Linked DNA regions of Coturnix japonica. The protein of the gene in region 2 binds, or shares a complex with, the protein of the main gene of each other region. Links are inferred from orthologs where the notes say so. Each region holds a gene or a part of one and is shown on either strand. Other genes may lie near its edges.

Region 1 (3,653 bases), on a different chromosome or scaffold from region 2:
ATTTGAAAAATGCATTTCAGAAAAAAAATAAAATAAAAAAAACCATCAGCTCTCACAGAACCAGGCACTTGAATTTGTTGATTTTAAATATTATGATCTGGATAGAATTTTGACTTTCTGAGAACACTGAAACAGCACGAAGTAATTAAAAACATTCTCATGTAATTTCTCTTTTAGATACAAAATCACACTAACAAAAAACCAACAAAATCAAAGCTTGAGGTTTATGAAAATAATGCAACTATACACAGTGAAATGTTAATTCTGAAGGGATTTGTTACTGTTGGTTATTCCTTTTATTGCATCCATTTGCTAGTTGCTGTGACAGAAAAGACAGCCAAACTACAAAAATGTTTTTTCGGTGATTAATTCAGACACTTCCGGAATCAGATGCAAATATCTTCATATTTATGTACCTGCTAGTTTCATGTTACAGGACATGGTATTTATGACTTTTATCAAACCATTAAAAACACATCATCCTTGTTTGTGCAAAGACAAACTTACATCTGCTACTGTTTGCAGATGGAATGCCTCCTCCAGCTTAGCAAACTTGAAAGCAAAATATCAGATCCAATCTCATGTAAGCTCATAAAGCAATAAGGATTTTGTTTTCACTTTCATATTTATATGTATTTATGTATTTTATATATAATGTAGATTGAAATATATACAAAAATCACTCATATTTATATTTAAATATTTTCATTGAAAACAACTATGACGTGTGACAGTAGTAAATTTAAGAAACTCTACATTTATGGCAGTAAGGCATAAAAGGGAATAAAGGCAACATCAGCTAACAAAAAACCACTGCCTCTAAGTGCCATAGATAAAATGATTGTACAAAACAAGAGGAGATGCAACTATGCACATTTTAGATGGTCAGCTCTGATATTTAAACCACAGATAATCATGCAAAACTGACAACTAAACAATTGTTAAACTACATTCAGCCAGCTCATCATAACTGTTTTTATAACCTATTTTCTCTAATCTTTCTGCTACAAGCTATATACAGTTTAATTCTGTGTCAAGGGCATACTTGTCATAGCCATGCTCAGACCTCAGATTCAAAGTTTTTTGATTGATTAAAACTGCCAACCAACTATTTGCTGTTCTTTCTACATGAATCTTCCTAGCTTCTCACAGCACTTATTGTCTATATTGATAAATAGGACAATAAAAAGCTGACTCAGGACACAACATCAGGAGGGTGAAACCTTGGGCCATTTTAGGAATTATTGGATGAATTCCCCAGGAAACGTCCTAAGGGACATCAGAATGGAGAAGAGATGGAAGATCTTCAAGGACAGCTTTCTGAGAGAACATGGGGCCTCCGTCCCGCAGCATAAGAAACCAAGTAGGGGAGGCAGGAAATCAATATGGCTGACCAAGTACCTGCTGGTCAAACTCAGGCAGTGAAGTAGGGATGGATGGCCTGGGAAGAATGAAGGAATGCAGTTCAGACATGGGGAAATAAGATCAGGAAAGCCAAAGCACAGATGGAACTGAACTTGGAAAGGGATGTGAAAAATAACAAAAAAAGAATCTTTAGGTACATTGGTCAGAAGAGAGTGGCCAAAAAGGGCATACTCCCTCTGACAAATGAAAAGGTAGAACTGGCTTCAGCAGACATGGAGAAGGCTGAAGTACTCAGTGAATTTTTTTGCCTCAATTTTCACTGGCAGTCAGGCTTCCCACACCTCTCATGTTCCTGAATCTGTAGGCCGGAGTCAGAGGAACAAAATTTGCTCCCACTGGAAGAGCTGAGCAAATCTAAGATCACCTTGTAAGGCTGACTGAGTGCCTGTCTATGGGGCAGAGCATGTATCACAGAATCACCTGGGTTGAAAGGGACCTCAAGGATCATGAAGCTCCAACCCTCCTGCCTGGCAGGGCCACTAAACTTCCACGTTTACTAGATCAGGTTGCCCAGGGCCCCATCCAACCTGGTCTTGAACATCTCCAGAGATGGGGCACCCACAACCTCCTCAGGCACCCTGTTCCAGGACCTCACCACTCTCCTAGTAAAGAACTTCCAAACTAAATCTTCCCTCTTTCAAATTAAAACCATTTCCCCTTGTCCTGCTATCATCGTCCCTTTCAAAGAGTTTACTCCCGCTCCTGATTACAGATACCCTTCAGGTACTGAAAGGCTGCAATGAGGCCACCCCACAGCCTTCTTTTCTCCAGGCTGAACAAACCCAACTCCCTCAGCCTGTCTTCGCAGGGGAGGTGCTCCAGCCCCCTGATCACCTTCGTGGCCCTCCTCTGGACCCTTTCCAACAGCTCTCTCTGTCTTTTTTGTACTAAGGGCTCCATACCTCATGTAGAAGGTCTGTGAGACACAAAACCTTTAGATGAAAGAAACTGTTAATGAAATTCACTGTTTTAACCAGCAGCTGAAAATCCTTGATGTACAATATTTAACATCTGCTTCAGTTTCTCTCATCTTTGTTAGATTACAGAAAAATCTGTATTCAGTTTACAGTTTGTCAGTTTATATACTCCTTCCTATGAAATTCAGTGCCAACTACTCTTTCCAAAGCAGAAGGGAGAATACTAAAAAAGACAAAGAAATATAAACACAAGAATATCTATATTTCAAATCAGTGCTTATTCCTTTGCATAAATTTTTTTCCTTTTATATTGCTGTAATCCTTTATCTCCACGTATATACAAAGAATTATTTTCCTCCACTATGCAAGTTTATACAGAAAAATATAACATTATATCTCCCATCTCTCTTTCTTAATAGCACTAGCTAACTACAAAAACACACAAAGTACTCCTGGTCAAACTGCAGTCACTATTGTAAGCTAAGTTTCTCTGAAGGTAGATTTCTAAAGTTATAAAATCAAATACATACCAACTTCATTAAAGTCTTCAAATGTGATCTTGCCTGTTGCTTCTCGATCGTAATCTTTAAGTATTTTCAGTACATCAGCTTTTTTCACATCAAAACCCAAGGCTCTCATTGCCACCTTTTGGAATACAAAGAAAGTGCAATCAGATATTAATATTAAAATAGAGCTTTATGAGAGATTTGTTCTTACTTTTAATAAGAACATCACTGCATAGGACAGAGTGTGCACATCAGTGGGACTGCAACAACAATAAATAAAAATTAAAATACCAAAAATGCTTTGTATAAAAAAAAACAAACATGAAATCACCCAAAACAGGCACTGCTAAGTAGAACATCATATTACAGTGTAAAAAGAGCCTTCAGTTTTCCAATACTTTAAAAAGTGCATCATATGCTTTTTAGGAGTAGATTTTTTTTCTAACTTTCAAAAGCATTCTGAGTACTGTCCCCTTTTCAAAGATCAAATTGAAAATCCTTCTTTAAATTACTCACAGTAAACACTGGACAAGTCATCTTTCCAGGGACTTAATTTATCACTTTCCCACTTGAAACTATATAACTACATAAATCATTTTTCCCTTAGATTAGGAATTGATACTTAGTTTCCACATTTCAATGGAGATGGCAGCTTCTCAGCACATGCTACTTCGAATGCACTGAAATACAGGAGCTTATTTTAAACTACAAATAGAAAGCCCCAATATCTCTATTCAACATAGCCATTTCATATCTACCCTACAGGCTGATGTTGCAGGAGGAGGTATTTCTTTATACATTTCAG
Region 2 (3,653 bases):
CTCAAGAAGCAGCAAGGTATTTCCTGGAATTCTCCTTCTGCAGTGCTGATATTCCAGCAAATCTCTCAATGCTGCCCACATACGGGCTGCTAGAATAGACGGCAATATGAGAAGGAACAGAGTCAGTAAGTAAATACTTTCAGCAAGAACGATGGAGAAGCTCAAGCAGACTGTCAGGGAAATCAGCAAGTTCTTCTTTCTCTGCTATTACCATGGATGCAATTACCATGACGTGGGAGAGCGTGGCAGGAAGTCCAAAGAGCATTTTCATGCTCCAGGAGCTTTGATAGAATTTCAGTCAGTAGCAACGTAAAATTCATACAATACATATTTAATACTTGTAACCGTTGCTCAAGTGCAGTTACCAGCAAAGCCTACACACAAATACCAGCACAGTCACACTGTAGCTTTACAGGAAGGAAGAGTGCATTTGCAGCTTCAGGTTTTACCTGAAAAAAGAAGTTTCAGCCTCAGAACGAAATGATGCTGTGAAGTACCTATGAAGGGATAACAATAATTGCACAAATTTGAGCTTGAGGGACATACACATCCACCAGCAGCTTAAGCACTGATGGGTCTAGAGGTGATATAAGCAAGCTTCTGACAGGATTTAAAGCTGAAGAGACTTGCTGCAAACCATACCAGCCTGCAAGTATAAACGTTGAGCATCGAGAAAACATAAAATACAACAAAGATAAAGCAGTTCAATCTATGATATAAACTGTGAGCGAAGCTTATTTTTGTTGATTAAAAAACTAGAAGTGGTAGAGTTAGTGCCAGCTGCAGACACTAACCTCTCAACCCCCAGAACTAAAACCTGACAGTATGTCTGTGTAAATACTGAGTAACAGCAGAGGAACAGTCAAACCCTGGAGCAGACCCCCTCCTTGTATCACCCTGCACACTGCTCTCCATTGGAAGAAACTACAGAAAAAGTGTTCCACGCAGCACAGAGACAGTTGTATCTGACCCCAAATAAACACAGTGAATCCAAAGGAGCCTGAGGAAAGCAATTAGTTAAGGAGAATGAAAACTTATCCCAGAATAACCACAAGAAAAAGTGACATAGGAAGCTTTTGTACTATCAAAAGCATCAAATAACTTTAAGACCTACCTGGCTGACAGAACTAAACGAAGGGTAACGTACAGCACAAAGGCCCTTGTACGTCACTGACAGGAAGTTACCAAAAACCACTCAGGAAGGACAAATCCTGCTGTCGACAACCGTGTATCAGAACTTATAGACAAGTACAGAGACTTGTCCAAATTCTAAGCAAGTATTTCCAGACAACAAACCATTGTCAACATCAGCCAGACAGCTCGAGATGTGACTGCAAACATCCCCAGGCAAAGGAAAGGATGATGGAAAGCAGCAGAAAGGAAATCTCACAGCTGTTAGCTGCCAAAATAAGCAGGGACAAAACGTTTCACACTCATGTGTGTTACGTGAGCCCATACAATCACCTGAAGCAGAGAACCTCACCATGCTCTCCTCAGCAAATCACTTGTAGCTTACTTAAGCCTCTGCAAAGGCTGTAAGTGCCTTGTTTCTACTGACTTCAATGAAAGTCTGGAATTCAAAATGGTTCTGCAGAGTTGCTGCTCAGTGGTGCTTCTAACAGCTAACTTTTTTCTTCACTGAAAGAAGCGTTCCTCCTCTGTACTACCTGTATCCAGTGGACTGAACTCAAGGCAAGACTATTTCCACAGTACCCTCAGAGCAAAACTAATTCCACAGGAGCCTCAGAAGTGCTTTGAATCACAGCAAAGGAATAGCAGTTACAAGGGGAGTCTGATTTCCTCATCAGAATTGCACCTACCTGGATGTCAGTGTCCTTCACAGGTTCAAGAGGCTCAAATGTAGTGGCTGCACTTAGACTCTCTAACCGCTGAGAGGTATGAGATATATCAAGCCCTCTGGACCCAAGAAGAACAGACCTGTAAGGAAGAAATTGTACGTATATGAGATCAGCACAGAACAGAAAGGGCTACTAGTAAGAACTGTAACCCCAGCGTGCTGCTGATATTTAGATCAGCAGCTAGTCACGTACAAAATTTCCAGTTACTATGAAAGATGTGCAAAACCAAACCCTGAACTATATGTGTGTATCTAACAACCTCAGCCTCATCAAACACTTCCTGCTGTTCCACTGCAGTACTGCACATCTGCCAAATCCTGCCTGATAGAAAAATTCTATAGCATGTTGCTAATTGTCTTCAGCAGCAGCCAGAACAAAGTACTGCACTTTTTGGCTTTGGTAGCCGGGAATGGTAGCTTCTCAGTTAAAACCTTCTGTTACTATTCTTTTTTTTTCCTTTTGTAAGCAAGAAGGAGTGGGCAAGAAAACAGCTTTGCAGAAATTCTGTTTCTCCTGGGTACATTCTCCTGGCAAGGCTCCCCACACATTAGAAACCAAACCTACAGACAGCCTGTACCCTCTGCATTCCATCTCCAGCGCCGGTGCTCAGTACTTACGCCTTAACATCTGCAGTCTCCTGGGACGTGCGGGTCAGGGTGCAGGAACGCAGGCGCTCCCCAACCTGCTGGATCTCCGGCAGGCTGCGTTCCACATGAGGGAGCTCAGAGATGCCCTCAGTCTCAGCTGCAAGCTGTTCTGCCTGCTGGAGAAGCTCTTCAAAGCCTTCAGTGTCCATTTCTGCTGCAGTCTTTATCCACGATGCTCAGAAGCCTTCAGAGAAAAATAAAAAAAATTGAGAAAATTCTTCAGCTATAAACAGCTTCTACACCTACAAGCACTCAGAGAGACCAGCAAGAGCTGCTCCTCTAGAATAGAACACTGTTCCATCAGTCCTCCCCAGGCAGCATCAACTATAACAAAGCATTTAAACAGTATAGTTTTGTATTCCTGATATTCCACCATTCCTAAGTCCCCTTGGGGAGGATGGGTAGAAACACCTAAACATCAAGGAGATACTTTCAGGTGCTCTCAGAGCACTTTGCCTAGCAGGATGACATTCTGAATGCAGATCTATGGTCTGTCAAAAAAGCAATGCAGGTACCATGTGACTATGTGACAGTTCAAAAGGGGAAGAACAGGAAGTGAAGAAATCCATGTGAAAGTTTTTGTGTTAATTCAGCTATAAAGCATTTGCATATACATCTATTTTTATATATACGTACATATAAGGAGCTAGGAGATATGGTTTAGTGGTGTTATGTAGATATGCTAAAGGGAGGACGGTTGGACTAGATGATCTTATATGTCCTTTCCAATTTTGTGATTCTATAATTCTATGATATACTTTTATATAAAATAAAAGAAGATTTGTGGTACATATACACATATGGGGATACACATGCCCCAACTAGGTCCCAAGCACCAACTCTGGCTCTTTAACTTAAAAATAAAATCAAGAGGAACCGGTTCAAGTGAGCCCTTGAATCTAAAAGAAAACGGTGCATGTTTACAAACCAGAACTCACCTGTAAATTCAAAAGTATCTCTTGGTTTCCCCTTTGAACTACACTAAAGCAATTTTAACAGTACTATTTCATATTCCTGGTATTCCACCGTCCCTAAGTACAACTTCAAGAGGCAAGAGCACTGTTCTGTGCCTGGACAAGAAGTGACTTCTAAGCACTACGTGGTGATTCACTCGGACACATGCAATCAGGGACAGGACCTGACCCCT

What was found.
Region 1: NUP93 (region 2) and CETN3 share a complex: the UniProt entries of both Homo sapiens proteins name them as parts of the nuclear pore complex. The link is inferred for Coturnix japonica from reciprocal best matches to the Homo sapiens genes NUP93 and CETN3.

The regions. Positions count from the first base shown.
Region 1 is NC_029547.1:53,322,374-53,326,026, reverse strand, and holds part of CETN3 (centrin-3), read right to left. Parts: intron 2,988-3,653; coding exon 2,873-2,987; intron 1-2,872. UniProt on the Homo sapiens protein: Plays a fundamental role in microtubule-organizing center structure and function. As a component of the TREX-2 complex, involved in the export of mRNAs to the cytoplasm through the nuclear pores.
Region 2 is NC_029526.1:563,135-566,787, reverse strand, and holds part of NUP93 (nuclear pore complex protein Nup93), read right to left. Parts: intron 2,691-3,653; 5' UTR 2,656-2,690; coding exon 2,477-2,655; intron 1,939-2,476; coding exon 1,821-1,938; intron 1-1,820. UniProt on the Homo sapiens protein: Plays a role in the nuclear pore complex (NPC) assembly and/or maintenance. May anchor nucleoporins, but not NUP153 and TPR, to the NPC. During renal development, regulates podocyte migration and proliferation through SMAD4 signaling.